Linked DNA regions of Coturnix japonica. The protein of the gene in region 1 interacts with the protein of each later gene in a biochemical or structural test. Links are inferred from orthologs where the notes say so. Each region holds a gene or a part of one and is shown in the gene's direction. Other genes may lie near its edges. The genes, in order: SUMO1, PIAS1, RNF4, USP25 and RNF111.

What was found.
Region 2: the proteins of SUMO1 (region 1) and PIAS1 form a complex in vitro, tested with the Homo sapiens proteins (6 studies listed by BioGRID and IntAct, with this or other methods). The link is inferred for Coturnix japonica from reciprocal best matches to the Homo sapiens genes SUMO1 and PIAS1.
Region 3: the proteins of SUMO1 (region 1) and RNF4 form a complex in vitro, tested with the Homo sapiens proteins (5 studies listed by BioGRID, with this or other methods). The link is inferred for Coturnix japonica from reciprocal best matches to the Homo sapiens genes SUMO1 and RNF4.
Region 4: the proteins of SUMO1 (region 1) and USP25 form a complex in vitro, tested with the Homo sapiens proteins (2 studies listed by BioGRID). The link is inferred for Coturnix japonica from reciprocal best matches to the Homo sapiens genes SUMO1 and USP25.
Region 5: the proteins of SUMO1 (region 1) and RNF111 form a complex in vitro, tested with the Homo sapiens proteins (3 studies listed by BioGRID). The link is inferred for Coturnix japonica from reciprocal best matches to the Homo sapiens genes SUMO1 and RNF111.

What each region holds. Positions count from the first base shown.
Region 1 is NC_029522.1:10,239,634-10,243,149, reverse strand, and holds part of SUMO1 (small ubiquitin-related modifier 1), read left to right. Parts: intron 1-6; coding exon 7-84; intron 85-1,667; coding exon 1,668-1,739; intron 1,740-2,691; coding exon 2,692-2,760; 3' UTR 2,761-3,516. UniProt on the Homo sapiens protein: Ubiquitin-like protein that can be covalently attached to proteins as a monomer or a lysine-linked polymer.
Region 2 is NC_029525.1:17,309,340-17,313,631, forward strand, and holds the start of PIAS1 (E3 SUMO-protein ligase PIAS1), read left to right. Parts: upstream 1-1,482; coding exon 1,483-1,506; intron 1,507-4,292. UniProt on the Homo sapiens protein: Functions as an E3-type small ubiquitin-like modifier (SUMO) ligase, stabilizing the interaction between UBE2I and the substrate, and as a SUMO-tethering factor. Catalyzes sumoylation of various proteins, such as CEBPB, MRE11, MTA1, PTK2 and PML.
Region 3 is NC_029519.1:74,941,201-74,944,716, reverse strand, and holds part of RNF4 (E3 ubiquitin-protein ligase RNF4), read left to right. Parts: intron 1-1,338; coding exon 1,339-1,504; intron 1,505-3,516. UniProt on the Homo sapiens protein: E3 ubiquitin-protein ligase which binds polysumoylated chains covalently attached to proteins and mediates 'Lys-6'-, 'Lys-11'-, 'Lys-48'- and 'Lys-63'-linked polyubiquitination of those substrates and their subsequent targeting to the proteasome for degradation.
Region 4 is NC_029516.1:88,770,136-88,773,651, forward strand, and holds the end of USP25 (ubiquitin carboxyl-terminal hydrolase 25), read left to right. Parts: intron 1-249; coding exon 250-373; intron 374-1,018; coding exon 1,019-1,214; intron 1,215-1,646; coding exon 1,647-1,819; 3' UTR 1,820-3,102; downstream 3,103-3,516. UniProt on the Homo sapiens protein: Deubiquitinating enzyme that hydrolyzes ubiquitin moieties conjugated to substrates and thus, functions in various biological processes including inflammation and immune response.
Region 5 is NC_029525.1:5,844,350-5,847,865, reverse strand, and holds part of RNF111 (E3 ubiquitin-protein ligase Arkadia), read left to right. Parts: intron 1-1,749; coding exon 1,750-2,069; intron 2,070-2,912; coding exon 2,913-3,168; intron 3,169-3,516. UniProt on the Homo sapiens protein: E3 ubiquitin-protein ligase. Required for mesoderm patterning during embryonic development. Acts as an enhancer of the transcriptional responses of the SMAD2/SMAD3 effectors, which are activated downstream of BMP.

The sequences.
Region 1 (3,516 bases):
TCATAGGACAGCAGTGAAATTCACTTCAAGGTGAAAATGACAACACACCTCAAGAAACTCAAAGAATCATACTGTCAAAGACAGGTTTGTGAAACCATGACACTGAATGTACAGTGGCTGTTCAGAAGGTGTAGAAGTAATCTTTTAAAATGTCCAGGTTTACATTTGAAATTACTGTAAAATCTTCTGGATCCTTTTGAAATTTCCTTGAAATAGAATACTGCAGCTTGGGATGAGGGCAGCCTTATATGTTGTTACTGTCATAAGTATGATAATACATTTGCATGAGCTATTATACCCTAACCTAAAGAAATATGCAGTATCAGTGCTTGATACAGGTAAATAGTGACCGCTCTTCCAGGACAGGAAATATGTGTTCACTTACAGGTTCTATGGCAGATACTGTGGATTCAGTGATGCTATTCTTAGCGGCCCTGGTCTACTTCACTCCTAGCTTTGGGGACAGATGCCTTATGTGGCCTTTTCTTGAGCAATTGCACTGAAGTTCAATTCAGTAAATAAAACTATTAAAAAAAAAAACCAAAAAAACCCCAACTTTTTATTTTAGTGCTAAGTTTGATTTGCATCAAAGTATGGTAAGTTCTGTAGAAATACCTCTTTCATACTATGACACATTAGATTTTCTGTGCCTTTGTACAGTAATGTTGCTATATGGCCTGCTATCCTACTAGAGAAGGAGATAAAAGGTTAAATGACAGATATCCTTGCAACCCAAACTAAAAAGTGACTAAAATTGGGATTCATCAGAAAACTAAAAGGCAGATGCTGGCATTCATTCATGCAGTTAGTCGTATTCACTGTTAGAAATGTGTATGTGCAGATTTTTTTTCCAAGAAATATATGTTTTGGTAGGCAGAACTACATCTTTCTCCTGGCTGATTTCTAGAGAGTCCCAGTTCCTTCATTTGTTATCAACACTGCTTTTGGTGTCAAGTAAGCAACATTTCTGAGATGTAAATGATGCACTAAACGGGTCATATTTCACTTGCACTTTGCTGATAATGGATATGAAAGAAGAGGAAAAGGTTAGGTGTTTGTCTTAGCTGCAAAGGTGAAGTGTGGTATTAAGCTTTAACGTAGGAATGCTGTACACTAGATGTACTGTGATCTTATTTTATTAGCTCTTGGGTGCTCTTTTCTCTGCTCCCTCTCCTTCACAGCGTAGGGCTTTTGCAGAGCTTGTATCTGTAGAGGATACCATTCTTTATTGCAGTGTTATAAGATTGTGGAAGCAAGTGTAGGAGTTTGTGAAGTACACATATTCTGTATGTTATGGTAGTCTTTAAAAAGGCTGATAAATGGTTTAGAAGAAGGCTGCACCCTCCTGTAATGCCTTGGGAGTGCATAGTTGGTACTTTAGAGGAGTTGGGGAGGGGAGATGCTAAGAAAATTTCCCAGTTCTTGATCCCGAAGAACTTTACTGTAACTTTGGAAGAATGATGCAGTTCAGCACTATTGCTCTCCTTGAGACACTTGGTAGTTTACATGGGAGCAGCAGGATAGCTGAGCTCTCTGTGTAACAAGAACCTACGCTTTCCTTTTTAACTTATATGTGCACTGTTTTTATTAAAAATGTGTTTCTTGTAAATGTTTGCATCTTGGTTGAGGTTTTTTTGTGCTTTTTTTTTTTTTTTTTTTTTTTTAAGGGTGTTCCAATGAACTCACTCAGGTTTCTCTTCGAGGGTCAGAGGATTACTGATAATCATACCCCCAAGGAGGTAAGTTTCTTTTCAGAGAGTGTTGCATACAGCATTCAGTAGAGAAAATAATTACAAAATGTGTTAGTTTATCTGTTCTGCTATATTAACCTGATTTGATTCTTTAAATGTAGCCCATCTGTCAATACATCTCTGACTAATTGTAGTCTGATTATACTTGTATGACTGAAGTATTCAATAAGGTTGCTACATAGGTCAGAAAAAAGACTAATTGGACCTTCGCATATAGTGGAAAAAAGTCTGAGGGAACTGATCAGTTGTTGTTCTAGATCTTCAGCTTGAATTTGAAGTAAACATGTATTTTGTTCACATTTATTAGATGAAAGTGTAAATAAACAGCAAACAGATTACTTTTGCTATCTGGTGACTTCCACCAATTGTTACGAAGAAAGGAACAGGAAGAAATACTGAAATACTGAGTTATAATGATGACCTTCTGAAAAAAAATCAAACTTCTTGAATTCCACAATGAACAAGTTACTTTGTTTGAGACAACAGCTGTGAACAGGCTTTGAGTTGCAAGCTGTAGGTCTTAGCTGTATCATGCTTAGCAGCATGCAGTATATCATCCATGCGGCTATACAGCGGGTGCATTCACAGTGTTGGTAGTTACATTCCTGTGCATCCATTGCCCAAGAAGTTTAGAGGAAAGTAAAGCTAGTATTTTTCAAGCTGATGTGTGCTGCTTCACAAGTGAATTTGGACTTCACAGATAAGATTATTGCTTTGACTGAGAAGATGTGCTGAAATGTATATGATGGAAGAAAAAATACTTAAGAGCATGAGTGTTGGCTAGTGAGGTATTAAGTGAAAAATTTTTCACCTCTTTGTCCTTTGAAAAATGATGAGGCAGAAGAACAAAGCATCAGATAGCTTTTCTAGGACCTGCTCTGAATTCGGTGCACCAGATTTGTAACAATTGTGCTGTTTTTTTTTTTCTCTGTTCTAACAGCTGGGGATGGAGGAGGAAGATGTGATTGAAGTTTATCAGGAACAGACGGGGGGTCACTCAACAGTTTAGATCCTTCTGTTTGTTTTATTTCCCCTTAATCCTTTTTTATTTTTAAATAATAGTTCTTTTGTAATGTGGTGTTCAACACTGAATTGAAACTGGCACCCCATCTCTGGGAGTTTATTTTCGAGCGTCTGGTATTTTAAATTCTCGTGCTCATTATACACTATTGTTTCTGTTTTCATTGTGCTGAACTTCTGTGATCCAGCTGCAGCCCTGCTCTCCTTTTCCCTTCCGCCCTCCCCTTTAGAAATACATATACACACATGCATTTGTATGTTCACTAAGTTCGTGCATTTCAGGCACGAAGGTTGTAAGATCTGCCAGGTGGGCGAGTGTTCTTAATGACTTCCATATCTGCCCTGAAGTTTTGATGTGTGACTGTTTCACTCCTGGACTATAACTTTCAGTGCGAGATGAAGTTTTTCAGAACTAAACTGTGGAGAAATCATGTATCCGTAACTCAGAGCTATTTTACTTAAATTGTGCTGATGGCCCGACGAAGAAGACCAGAGTTGGAAACGAAAAAATCTAGAACCGTTGTCATCTGTACCTTGCTCCAGAGATGGCTTTGCTGAAGACATAGAATTGAAAACCCTAATGATTCTTAAATCTTGCCAGAAGAGCCCAGAAGCATTTTAACTTCATATAGCAATTAGTACACGCAGGTATTCATGCAAGAATGTTCACAGCAGGCAACTGGTGTTACTTTGACACTCTTGTTTGTACCTTTTGGCCTGGGACATGGGTTTTGAATGGACATTG
Region 2 (4,292 bases), on another chromosome or scaffold:
GAGCAGCAAGCTTCTTTCAAAGGGGGAAAAAAAGCAAATGAGGATTCGCCTTCATGTGATCATCCATCTTTTTGTCAAATTCTTTATGTGAGGCACAAACCAATAGATCACGTGAAGATTATGTTTATTAAACACATTCAATCAGTCAAAATGAAATATTCTAACATGGGCTGGTACAGGCGGCTGAAATAGATCGGCTAATTATGGTACGTGTGGGTGTACGGGGTAGTCATCTGACTTTTGCTTTTTTAGACATCTTGCCTAGCACCCTGCCCCCTCCCCAAACCAGCCTTCAGACTCTTCATTGCATGCAGTACTAAGCCAGAGTATCTGCTACTTATCAGCCTTCTTTAATTGCTCATTTTCTGAGTGGTTCATTCGTTATGCCAGTGCCAAATGGTAAGAGAAATCAATGAGAGCAGTGGACGTTTGGTGCACCTGCAGGAGAAATGGGATGTGCCCATGAGCTGGAGGATGGAGCAGGGTGCCACAGGGGAGTCAAGGGATGCTCCTCATGTTATCTGCCATGCTGGCCTTGAGACCGAGCTGGGAAATGCTTCTGGCTGGAATATATGGAAACAAAATGTTTGTGAAGGACCGGGGTTGCTTTCTGCTGTTCAGAAAACACGGCTTCATGTATATTCTCACCACTAACAGGATGGTATCAAAATGCTACTTAGTAGGAGATATTTGATACCGCTGTCACATTTTCCCCTCAATGGAAAGTGCCTAATTTTAAGTTGTGGCTAACTATCCAGGTCAGATGGGAGACATAAATTATAATTCAGAAATAATCACCAGTAGTAATCTCTTTACCATCGATTCCCTGCGTGGCCTCAAGCATGCTTTCCTCCATCTGCAGAGTGGAGGCATTAATGCTTTTATATCTCGCAACACAGATAATGTAAGTGCTTTCTGAATGGATGATGATTAATTTTATGGAAGCTGCGGAAAACGGGCAAATTTGGTCTCACTTAAAAGGATGTACAGTATTGACCTTCTGCCCAAGACCATTTTTCCACCCTTCGTGCAGGAGTTAAAGGCCAAGTGGAAAAAAAAAAGTGTGACAGCGATGGGTAATTAGAAAGAATAAGCAGCAGAGTCACAAATTCCAGTTTTTAACCAATTTATTGCTGCAGGAATGCGTGTCCACAGCTCCCCCCGGGAGGGCCCCGCGTTCCCCCCTCACAGCCCCGCCGAGCAGGGCTCCCACAGCGCCCCGTTCCCTTTGCGGAGCGATGGAAGGAAACTTTTCGTGCTCAGGGCTGGGAAACGCTCCCGCAGCTCTAAATGCGGACGGAGGAAGAAATGCGGGATCCCCCAGCCCGGCGTGTGGAAGGAGACACGGCCCCGAGGGAGCGCAGGGGAGGGACAAAATGGCGCCGCGATTCAAACGCTGCGCGCTGCGTGCGGGCGGGAGGGGGCGGCGGGGGGGGGCGGTGTCCCGGCGGGGTTCACTGCGCCTGCGCCCGGAGTTGCAAGATGGCGGACAGTGCGGAACTAAAGGTAAAGCGCAGCTCCAATTCCCTCCGCGACGCCGCTCGGGGCCGCGCTCCGCTCAGCGCTACGGGGCGAAGCGAGCTGCGGAGCGGTGACTGCGCGGGGCCGCCTCGCTCTGGGGGCTGAGGGACGGAGCGGGGCGGGCAGCGGAGCGGAGCTCTCCCCGCCGGGCAGTGCCCCCCCAGGCGTGGGGAGCAGCACGGGGAAGGGGGGGGGGCAGCGGTCGAGCCGCCCTGAGATGTTGGGGGCGGGTGCGGAGCGCTCCGCTCGGGGCCGGGGCCGAGCCCGGTGACACGGCTCCGTCCGGGGCTGACAGGCAGCCGGGCCCCCCCCGCTCGGCCACGGGGGCCGTTACGAGGCGTTGGCAGCCCCCCCCCCCACACACACACACACCCCGGCCCTCCCCTCTGTCAGAGAAGTTATTTCTCCCTTAACTCCTCGTGGACCCCGCCGGGTTGCGGTGTGGTGCTGAGCTGAGGCCCAGCGGGATGCGGCCGTCATGGGCTGGGGGGGGAAGGGGGGTGTCAGGGAGTCCGTGCTGAGAAATTAAAGCAAAAACCGACGGAACTTTGAGATGGTTTCGCGTTGGCGAGCTGGGGGTGTGGGCTGAGTGTGGCTGCGAGCTGGAAACTTTGAGAGTTTGGCTGCGGCTGTCACAGGGCTCTTAGCAGGAGGGCTTCACTTCCACGCTTTGCACTTCACATCACGAGAGCCGTACGGATCAGAAGTGCATCAAATATGACAGAAACTTGAGAATTACGGAGCGTGACCAGGGAAACTTGTCTTTCCGAGGAGCCCCTCAGTTTTCTGCACACAGCAGTTTCCTGTGCTTTCTTTTTTAGGGGCCGACAGTGCCAGCACTGTGTGTGTGCCCCAGAGTCTGGGCTCTGTGCCTGCCAGGCCCCTGTTCTCCCCAGGTCCCCCGCTGTCCTTTGTTTTTGAGCCATCTTGCTTGAGCTGTGTTGCCCTCAAGGTTGTTTATTTCCCCCCAAATTATCTTTCCATGTGATGAGTTGAAGGATTAAGGTTTGATTCCAGCCTTAAAACTTCTGTTAATCTCGGCATGGCAAGTGCGTGCTGGCACCTGGCTATGGATCTGTTGGTGCTGGGCTGGGTGCACGTGGTGATGCCTTCATAAGCATCTAATTGAGAGCAGTGAGGGAGTTAAGGTTTTTATGGTGTGTATTGAGATGGCAGGGTGGTGGTCCCTGTGTTTTCCCTATGAAAACTGGCCATGTGTTGATCCTGAGAGCTTTGAGATCTGCCCACTGAACACCCTGTCCTGTTGCCTGCTGTGTTACAGCCTCAGCTCATGCAGAAATGTATTTGTGCCCACTTGTCATCCCTGACTTTTTCATCGATCCCTGTCTGAAAGCTGCTCCTTGAGAACCAGTGCTGAGAAATTATGATTATTTTGTTCTTTAAAGCACTGTTGCTGCCTCAGGGACCTGAAGGGTAAATGTCAATCCCACTGGTTTATTTTCAGTTTCACTTTTCTTCTCGGGATATTTAATGGGACTTGTAGGCTGGGACCGTGGGATGGGACACTGCAGTCTATGAGAAGTTGGCTGGTTTGGGGGGCTGTGAGGGTTTGGCAGTTCATGGAAGAAAAACCCAATAACTTCATACATTCATGCTTCGAAGGCTTTGAGATGGAGAGGTCTGACTGCTTTTTTTCTCTCTAGGCCATACAAAAAAATAAGAGGTGGGTGGATGCTCCTCTCTGGGAGGGAGAGGGAAACTCAGAAGCATGAAAGTTCTGCTCAGGGTCATATCTATCATGTCCTGGGCTTTCCAGGAGCGGTCTGGCTCTGTTGTTGGGTATTGGATAAGGTGAGTGGTCCATGAAAAAGGGAGGCGAACAGAAAGAAGCTCTGCCAGGTTTGGTGCAGGGGATGTTTTCATGTGGATGCACATCTCCAGAAAGCAAGCTTTTATGTTTGCTGCTTTTGTAAAGTTGAAAGAAAACTAAGGGAGAGTTTGTGACCAAGACTCTGCTATTTGGGGAACGAACACAGAGTTCTTTTCATTATTATAATTTTCTGAGGTGGAATTTTTCCACGTTTCTCCTCTGATTAATTAGGAAGTGGCATTGATTTCAGATCTAGTGACCTTTAAAGCTAAAATCAAATGTAATAATTCGCACTATCTGGCTTGCCCGTGCACAGCGAAGTTCGTCAGAGTTTTTCTTTCTCTAAAACTTTCTTTCCTTCCTGTGTAAAGAACCATGGGGTTATATGTGGGGAACATACACACATTTAAACTGGGAATGTGATACGGCATGGGGTACTGCCAGATGCCCCAGGTAAAATAAAAGGTCTCTCTTCCTTAAGAGAAACAACGGATCTTGCTTGCTGTAATTTTTCACTTAACGTTAAGTCATGAAATAACGTTTCCTGTGATGTATTTTCTTACCGCCATCAAGAGCATTTCAGCCTTGTGCCCCATTAGAGAATGTTTGTCCTATTGAAAGAAAAATAATCAGATAAGATCAAACTTACTTTGCAGATCGTAGCCTTGTAAGGTTACTGAATTCTTTGGTACTCTCCGGGTTCTGGATGAATTGAAGCAATATGTTTTCATTTCTGTTGGTGAAACAAGGTAACTGGGAAGTCTGCTTGGCAGATTACCTCCCTAACTCTGGAGGTTGAGACATAACGTGAATTTTCCCCATCTTAATTACTATTCCTGTATAATTGCATACAGACTGTAATTTATCTCAAGGTAAGCTATTTAAAGCTCTTTCTAATTGGAAGGAGTATACTTGAGTGATTAAATCTTTCCTTCAATAT
Region 3 (3,516 bases), on another chromosome or scaffold:
GGGAGAGCAGCAGCGGAGTAGCAGGCCGCAGATCGATGAAACGCAGAGAAGATGGTCAGAGTAGCGAGGTCTCAGGAAGTGGAGTCTCGGGCAGCGAGGTCCCTCGGAGCAGAGCCTCGAGCAGCAATCCCAGAAGAGATAATAGGCAGCAGTAGGACAACGGTGGAGGGATCTGAGGTCAGATACCTAGATGCCCACAAAACCGTGGTTTGTCCGTGCCCTTTCCAGCCTTCGAGAGATTTCGGGACGGCTCGGGTCAGAGTCTTGTGATTTCCTCAGAGATGTCAATCTTCCTTGAGATGAGCCAACACGAGAGAAAGACCACTTAAGAGCCATCAGTCCTCAGAGATGGCCATCTTCCTTGAGACAGGCCAACACAAAAGACCACTTAAGGGCCATTGATCAGCATCTTATCTCCCTTTCGTAGCTCCCGACTGGTCCATCTCCTAAACAAAGGGATTTCTGGAACCTTGGTTCCTGTGTGTCTCAGACAAAGGCAGTCCTGGAACCTTGGCCAGGACTTGCCTGAATTTGTCAATTTCAGCAAACTTTGAGACAGTAATGTAAAAAGCATGGCCTCTTACAGCTGTTAGCTGCTTACCTAGAATGTAATCCATTTGGGGCTCTAAAGGAAGGAAGTGGAAAAAAACAACAAAACAAAATCCCCACATGCAATAGAGATTATAGCTCAATAATTGTGCAAGGACTTCTAAATGTTGTGGCTATTTATGTAATCATTATTAAGGCTCCATGGTTGGTGTTCGTGATGGAGCTGCAAAGAAATAATTCTTGTGTGCAGTTTCTGATGGTGAAAAAGCCAACAGCGGTTCTATAACCTCTGGGTTTGATGGGCTCAGTGATTTTGTTCTGTTCTTGTATGAGTGAGAAACAAAAGCAACTATGTCATTTAAATGTGCCACTTAAGCAGCTCTTCTGTCACTTGTGAAAAATGACTTGACTTTGTTACCAGAAGAATGACCTGAGGTGTGTGTGTGTTTGTCCATATGGTCAGTAATCCCCTGAAGCAGCAACTGGCTGCTGGCAATGATATCGGTGCTCTAAGCAGTTTAGGTAATTGTGGGGGATGGTGCTCCCTTCTAATCTCAAGCTTTATACAGGTCTGAACAAAAGTGCTCACTGTTACCAAACCTTTTTGCCCTGCCACCTCACTGTGCTCCTCGGAAACTTGAGTCTTCTCTACCCCCTTTTATTTATTTTAAACAATCAAATGGTTGTTGTTGTGTTTGTTGTTTTTTTTTTTAATTCTTCAAGGTAGTAAAAGTGTTGTAGAATTCACTGTATGTATTTTTATGGTATATCTAAATAAATAAATTACAGAGAATCGACAGCGGAGGAGAAATCTCAGACTAAGAGGCCAGCGGCAGTCAGACAGCTGTGTGCTTAGTAGCGATGATGAAGATGAAACGAGAGATAATGATGTGTATGTCACAGATAAAGTGTCTCGAGAGCTGGGACCACTGGAGGATGAAACTGCAAGCTCCAAGTATGTATGTCTATGGCCTAACAAACATTGAGTTGTGTTCTGTGCACACAGGGCTGATTCGGATCATTATGGTCTGGTTTATCTTTGAAATCATAACTTAGTTTCCACTTCAAATTCACAGATTGAGACATGATTGCATTGTAGAGAAATGTGGTATATTAGAAAATATGCTTTTGGGAAACAAAAAAGCAGATTCTACTAAGGGCTGTAATGTAGGCTTTTGTTGACAGTAGTGCAGTGTGCTTAGGCCATACTGTTCAGGCTGTATTATCACTGACTGTCTCTGACAAGGAAATAGATTAAACCAAACTGCAGCTGAAGTGCAGTGGATGATAAACTAAAGAAAATAAATCTGTTTTTCTTTGCATTATATATATTTCCTAAGCACCTCCTGCATACTTAAAATAGAGTCGAACTTCTCAACTGACTGAGAGCAGTTACTGAGGAGGGACGGCTGTTCTTATCTCTGACAATCTTGAATAGAGTATCCCTGGCTGACCCTGTGGCATGAGGTACTGGATCTGAGCCAAGTGAATGGCATTTACAGCACAGCTGATCTGCCTGCTGTAGTTACCAGGGAGTGAAGGATAAGAAGTTAGCAAGATGCTGATAATTTCCAGGCTGAAGAGCAGTGGTGGGTGATTTTGTTTTGAATTTTAAGTGGTCTATCACATTGACAAGAAGTCAGTGTAATAATGAGGATGTGCTAACTCACCTTCTTTGCATCCCAGTGTCTGCAGGCATTTATATGTGACCTTAAAGCTCAGATGTTGTTAATCCTTTTTTTGGGTACCTTCAACTCAGATCCAGCTGTGCAGCCCAGCTGTCCTATGAGTTAAGACATGCATTGTGATTTAAAAAACCAAACTCACAAATGTCTGGATGCTGGCAGTAACTTCTTTCTTCTAACACTCAGAGGCATTTTAAGGTGGACTCCATAACAGCCTCTTTGAGCACGTTTTGGGAAGCAGCACATCACGCTGATCCTACCTTGTTGGTGGGCTGTGAGCCCTTTAGTTTACTAGAGGACAGTATGGGAGAGAACTTGGATACAGGAACATTGGTTTTCAGGTTATTAAATGTGCGATGTGAAGTTCCTTGTAGCATATGAGAGCAGTGCTCTTTGTTGTTGAATTTACAAACTTGTTACTTTGGGCCTGTTTTTGGTTAATGTAAAAATGGAACGTTTAGGTGCCTCAAGCTCATACTTCTCTGTTAGAGATGGGCCTTCCTGCTCTGTGTAGACAAGGCTAAGACAGCTCAGTGATGTAACTTCTATCACTGACGTGAAGGTGAGGTTATAGTTTCACACCATACATGGCTCTGTGGCAGACTACAGAGTTGAGTTAGTCTTGCTCATGTGAAGGTTATCATCAGTTGTAATTAATTATTGAGTTGGTATTATAGCCTCAATTTGAGTAGTAAAAAATGGAGAAATTAATGGAATTTAATTATGTATGTGAAACTAGAGATGGACTTCAGTATTACTTGCTGCTTGAATTAACGATTATGGGATGAAGGATATCTCAAGCTTCTTATGCTTTTGTCATTAATGAATTATATAAACTGTTGCTTAACACGGGAGATGATGGCAGGATTACAGAACTGCAGGGGTTGGAAGGGGCTTCTAGAGATCACCTGAGCCAACCTCCTGCTGGAACAGGCTCCCTGCGGTAGCATAGATCAGCATCCAGAGAGATCTTTAATACCTCCAGAGGAGACTCTACAACCTCTTTGTGCAACCTGTTCCCAGTGCTCTGTCACTATCACTGTGAAAGATGTTCTGCATGCACAGTAAAGCCAAGAGTTTATGGTGTAGAGTTCCTGAAGCTGCTTACTGTGATACTTACGGTATCATGACGGCTTCCCTTTGCCCAAGAACCCTGAACATAGAGTGATGCAGTTTGTGATGGTGGAGTTGTGACTTTGTAGAGCTCTTAGTCCAGTTTTGGCCATGAATTGGTAAAACATGCGGTCAGTAGTTGTGACATTGAAGTCATTTACTTGCAAAG
Region 4 (3,516 bases), on another chromosome or scaffold:
GTGAGCTTTGGATCACACTTCATGTGCAAGTTATCTAGTCTGATAATAAAATACATTGTTCTAATGTATACAAAAGAAGAAAATATGTGGTAGAAAATGCAACATTATGAAGAGATGGATGAGGAGGGTTGGATTTGCAGTCAAGCAAGTAAGTGAAGTTGCATATCCTATGAAGAACATAGTAGTTAACTTGAAATAGGTGTCATCTGGATTTGCATCTAACAACTTTGTTTCTTTACTTTGCTTTAGCTATATGGAAGCCTTGCTCTACCTTATCTATGCTTACCAGAATAACAAAGAACTCTTGTCCAAAGGCCCATACAGAGGGCATGATGAAGAGCTGATATCTCACTACAGACGAGAATGTTTGCTAGTAAGTGAAGGATGCAATATACTACAAAAGTTGAATTTTCCACATAGCTTTAACAAATTAGGCAATGCTGCCATACTTTCAAAAAAACTAAAACCAAAGCATTTTCATTAAAAATTACAAAGATTTCAATAAGAAAAAGGTGAGAGGAAGAAATGTGTGTAGTGAGAATAAAGCATGTGTTTGTTTTAAGTAATCAGTTTCTTTATCATTATAAGTAGTGTGCTCACTGCCATTGTGTCTGGGCTTAGGTAGAAGCAACAGTGGGCAGTATTGGTGGGTGAACTTGCAATGTTATTGCAGTTGGACAGGGATGCAAATGTTTAGAAAAAGGTATCAGCAGATATGATTTTTTTTCCTTGATTATGTCACCTTTTTCTTTGCAATCATAAGAATAGGCAAGAGCAGATGGTAGGACCTCAGTTTTGAAAAGGAGTAGCTAAAAAAGTTGACTTGGCAGGTATCAACTGAAGTGGCCTTAGGAGAGTAGTACAAGATCAAATGGTTTAATAGAGTTTATGTACCATTGCTGTGAACGTTAAAGCTCAGTTGTTATTGCAGATTTGCCATAAGGCAAACAAAAACAGAATGGTCAATTGTGAAATGCTGTATACTTAAAGAATTTCTTTTTTGTGGTGGTACGTGAAGAAACTAAATGAACATGCTGCAGCACTGTTTGAATCAGGAGATGATCAGGAAGTAAACAATGGCCTGATCATTATGAATGAGCTTATTGTCCCGTGTTTGCCATTACTTCTGGTGGATGAAATGGAAGAAAAAGATATTGTCGCTGTGGAAGATATGAGAAATCGTTGGTGTTCCTATCTTGGACAAGAAATGGAACGTAAGTATTTATTAAAGTATAAGACGCTCACACACTCCTGATTTTTATTCATTACTTTTTAAAATGTTTTGGTTTGTGTCTTGAACAGAGCCTGAATCTTTTGTGTTTTGGTAACATATTTTGAATTACCATGACTTTAGAGTAATACTGTACACATTTAAATGAACAGCAGTTTTTCCCATGCATACATAATAATGAAGTTCTGCAATATTTTCTATATATAACAAAGTCCTTAAACGAAACTTTTATTCACTGAAGAAAGTGCATTATTCCAAGTGAAACTCTTAATACTCCCATCCCTGTTAAAAAAAAAAAAAAAAAAAAAAAAAAAAAAAAAAAAAAAAAAAAAAAGAATCAGTTTGGAGCAGGAAGAGGAAAATTGCACCTGTGGACATAAAAGCTTATGGTTATTTTCTTTTCTTTCATTTGCAGCTAACTTGCAAGAAAAGCTGACAGATTTCCTGCCAAAACTACTAGATTGTTCTACAGAGATTAAAGGTTTCAATGACCCGCCAAAGTTACCCTCGTACTCCACACATGAACTGTGTGAAAGATACGCCCGAATCATGTTGTCACTCAGTCGAACTCCAGCTGATGGAAGATAAATTCTGCAACCTTCCTGAGCACACTGTATAAACTTTTTTAGTTCTTAAACCTTGCCTTCCTGTCACAGGGTTTGCTTGTTGCTGCTATAGTTTTTAACTTTTTTTTTTTTTTTTTTTAATAACTGCAGAAGAGAAATGACTGTACAAAGTTTAGCCAGACTGCAAACAGTTAAAGCTGAGAATCGCATGGCACTCAGTCGTTTCAACCAGAATTGATGCAACTTGCAAGTCTGATAATTATGGCAAAACTGCTTTTTTGCCACTTCTCTGTTACAGTATTACTTTGCTTTTATCTTAAGATCCTTTACTTTATCAACAGCTGTCTGGATCATTTTGTGACTGCAACTACTTTAAGTGTCCAGTGCTGTGTAAATACATGGTACTTGGTAGCTTGTAAATGAAATGAAAGAATAAAGTTTTATTTATGGCTACTTCTGTGTTTGCAAGCAGATAACTTGTATATTAGTGTAAAATATAGGCATTTTTAGGAGAGATACAGTATATTGATGGGTAACTCCATTTTATAGATAAGATTCTTCAGGATTTATGGACAGTTAGATGAAGGTAGTCAGAGATTACTGTATGTGAATATTCTGAAAAACTGTCGCAGTATTATACGCTGTTGGTTGGGTTTATTTTGTATATACTTTTTTGATCTTTATGATACTGCACCTGAACACTTCTGTGTGTGTGTGGCTATGCCACGTGTATTCTGATGACAAGGACTGGCTTATGAAGCAAAACAACAATGATGCTTCCCTTCTATTCTTTGGAAAAAGCTTGAAAGAAAAAAAAAACAACAAAAAAACCTATTTTCATTTGAAATATATTAATATCTCTAAGCAAAAATTTTAGGAGTTGATTTGAATAGAGAAAATAAAGATTTTGAAAAAGTGGACTTGGCAAATCTTAAAGGTTAATTAATGTTGTTGTTTTAAAAACAAACAAACAGAAAAAACCCCAAACTAGTATTTTAGCTATGTGAATGACCAGAAGTAAAAACATAACTAATCCCTTACTTGAAATGTGTTGCTATTGATGCTACAAGAATCTCAGCAATCTTATGTGTGTCCTAATCACATTTCTGTTGGAAGTGAAAGAAAAGTTCTACAGGGTTTGTTTTGTAGAACTGAAACTCTGTCTAGTTTAAACAAAGAGTGTTACTTATTTTGTGGAGAAAGAAATTTAACGTGTCCTTAATTAATCTTGTTACCTGATACTATTTTCATTCTTACTCATTATAGAGAACATTTTGTGTTAGAACAGTAAAATATGTGAATGTTTGCTTGTTGGCTTTATTGGAGCGACACTGAACTTCTCATTGCAAGCTTTCTAGTGGAGAGTATTCTGATTTCTGCTAACAAAATAACTGAGGAAAGAAGGAAGGAGGAAGGATTAATTGATTTCAGATCACCTAGAACTGTAGTGGGATATGTGTGGGCAGCTTACATTCAAGAAGAGGCTAAGTTCAGTCTTGAAAATTATTCACTCTTGAGAAAACACTGGGTTGAAATATATAGTAAATAGAATGTGGGCTTGACTTTAAAGGTTTTTTTTCTTTTCTTTTTTTTTTTTTTTTTTTCCCCCGCATGAGTATTTTCCTCTTCTTTTTTTCAGTATTGAAGTGCTTCATAATTGTCAGTCTACCCATCTGTTATATTAAACTGAGCTATTAGTATCACAGTACTACTCAGAAA
Region 5 (3,516 bases), on another chromosome or scaffold:
CATCCAAGTCATTGATGAATATATTGAATAGTACTGGTCCCAGTACCAACCCTAGAGGGACTCCACTAGATACAGGCCTCCAACTAGACTCTGTCCCATTGACCACAACTCTGGCTTCTTTCCTTCAGCCAGTTCACAATCCACCTCTCTATCTGATTGTCCAGACCACACTTCCTCAGTTTATCTGCAAGGATGCTGTGGGAGACAGTGTCAAATGCTTTACTAAAATCAAGATAGACCACATCCACTGCTTTACCATCATCTATCCACCTGGTTATGTCTTCATAAAAGGCTATCAGGTTGGTTAAGCATGACTTCCCCTTGGTGAAGCCATGTTGACTGCCCCTAATGACTCCTCTTATCCTTGATATGCCTAGAGACAGTGCCAAGGATAAGTTGTTCCATCACCTTTCCAGGGATGGAGGTGAGGCTGACTGGTCTATAGTTACCTGGGTCCTCCTTCTTGCCCTTTCTGAAGACTGGAGTGACATTTGCTTTCTTCTTGTCCTTACAACTTAACAAAGACAACAGAGAGTGGCCTAGCAATGAATTCCACCTCAGCACTCGCAGGTGCATCCCATCAGGACTCATGGATTTATGGATGTTTGGATTGCTTAATTGATCCTTAACCTCAGTCCTCATTAACTGAGGCAAATTCTTCCTTGATCCTGACTTCCTATGTGGCCTCAGGGGTACGGGGCTCCAGTAGTACAGACAGAGACAAAGAAGGCATTTAGTAACTTGCCTTCTCTGTATTTTCTGTCACCAGGGCACCCACTTCATTCATCAGTGGGTCTATATTGCCTCTAGTGTTAGTTTTATCTGCAAGGTATTTAAAAGAACCTCTTTCTGTTATCCTTGACCCCTCTTGCAAGGTTTAATTCGAAGGAGGCTTTACCTTTCCTAGTTGACTCCTTACATCCTCTGACAGCAGTATACTAGTCTTCCCAAGAGACCAGCCCCTCCTTCCATGATCTGTAGACTCTCCTCTTCCACTTGAGTTTTCCAAGCAGTTCCCTGTTAACTATGCAGGTCTCCTGGCTCCCTTTCTTGACAAAGATAGATAAGGGATTCAGGAGCATTCTGCATCTCATTGAGATGGCTCAGTTATATCTGAACAACAGTCCTGTTTCTGAGGAGACAGAATATAATTCACTGGGAATGGAATCTTCCATTACAGTGTGTTGTGGAGCTTTTTAAAATGTGCATTGCGAGGAAGCAAAGGATGCATTTAGAATCCTTGAACCCATAGATGAAAGCATGTCTGTATAAATCTGTATAGAAAATGACATATAAAAGAGTTGATTGTACGGGTGGCACTAAAAACATTACTGAGACATGACTACTCTTCCCTCCAAGTCAGATGATGTACAAAAAAATCTTAGCTGATCATATTTATACAGGAATTTGATAATACTGGATCAAAATAGATCCGTTCACACTAGCCACAGACATGATCTTTCCTCCTTTCCCCACCAGTAATGCATCTTAAATTATTGGAATAATAAGATAAGTGCCATTTTACTTCCTCTAGTCATTCCCATGAATATGTCCACCTGAAATATTCATTTTTGGTTCATTTGGCAAGCATAGTACAATCTTCTTTTTTTTCCTCTTTATTCCAGTTTGTTTTGTTTTAATCTAGATCTATTTTCCAATTAGTTAATTATTTAATACCAAAGATTTTTCAGACATTGTTTTTTGCTGATGAGCTTTACTAACTTCTTCAATCTTGGCTTTAATTTCAAGATGATACAAGAAGAACTGCATCTAATACAACACTGGAAACCAGCCCTCCAGCCATGCCAAGGTTACCGTCGTGCTGCCCTCAGCATTCTCCATGTGGAGGATCTTCACAGAATCATCATGCGTTGGGGCATCCACATACAAGCTGCTTTCAGCAGCACGGCCACCACTTTCAACACCACCACCATCACCACCACAACCCTCACCCAGCAGTTCCCTTGTCTCCTTCATTCAGTGACTCCAGCTGCCCTGTTGAACGGCCTCCTCCAGTGCCTGCACCTTGTGGAGCGAGCAGCAGTTCTGGCACCAGTTACCATGACCAGGCATGTTTCATTTTTATGACTCTTTCTCTGTAAATCCAAGTTATTATTTAATTATTTAAATATAATTTAAAAGGATGCTGAATTGTGGGTTATTTTCATGTTCTATAGTAGATATTTTAGGAGGGAACTAAAAGGAAAAATTGAGTTATACTGTATGGGCACAAAAGGAAATGTAACAACAAGCCATAACCCAATAAGTGATCATTGACAACTGATGTTCTCCTGATGACTGTAAGATGATATTATTTTATTTTACTATTTAAGCAGAGCAACCATAAATACTTTGCATTATACTGTACAGATTGTAGTAGTTCTGTAAGAAGCTGTGCTACTTTAGAACTGAATGTTTCTTCCCTTAATATTCTGTTCATGAAAGGAAAAAATTCTCTTCCAAAATCATTTTATTTTTAAGATTTTAACTAAAATCACAGCTCTAAAACAGAATGGTTGCAAATCCTAAGAACAATACTGTGGAAATATAATTTACAACATGTGGAACTATCAGTCTGTTCTATCTTGCTGCATTAGGCACAACTAAAAATGCTAAAGCTTGTTGTTTGCCTGGAAATATTTTAATGCACAGTAGCTCTCACATATGTGTCAATTCATCTATCATAGTATTTTTTGGTTCAGTCTGGTTTTCAAGTTCAATAATTTAGAAATAAGAAATGCTAACCATATCTAAAGAATGTTCCGGAATCAAGTCTTCAGACTTAAAAAGCTGGATTCCAATTGCTTGAGATCATATTTACTCCTATTTTTAGCAAGTTATATTTGAGGATAATTTTGTTTTCAGTGGCTGAAGAATTGCTTGAAAAAAAAAAAGATAATTTGTTTATGCAGCAGGCATTGCCAGTAGACTTAAGCAGCAGTGGTATAAGAAGTCATGGAAGTGGTGCTTTTCATGGAACATCTGCTTTTGACCCCTGCTGTCCTGGCTCTTCATCTCGAACTGCAATTTATGGGCATCAGACTGGTGCTGGCCCAAGCCAATCACTAACAATAGATGGATATGGATCAAGTATGGTTGCACAGCCACAGCCCCAACCTCCTCCTCAGGCATCGCTTTCTTCCTGTCGCCATTATATGCATTCTCCTTGTAAGTACTGGCTTTATGGGGGGAAGAGGAAAAATAACCTTCCCTGACAGCATAATAAAAGTTTTATTACCTTCTTGCTTTGATCTTAAAACTGAGTTAATCTTATGTTGAGGAATTAAACAGAATCTATGGAAAGTTTAAATATTTTCTTGTGGAAGTAAGTTTTTGAGTGGCAGGTCTTGTTAATGTTCAGACTTCAAAAAATGTATTTCCTATGAAAATAATAATTTGTATTTTAGTAATGTTTTTTTGTTTACTTCTCCGGTTGTCAGAGTTGTGCTTGAGCAGACTCAATCAACTCTTATCTGATATCTTTTGTTTTATTGTGTTTACAGAATATTGGGTTGA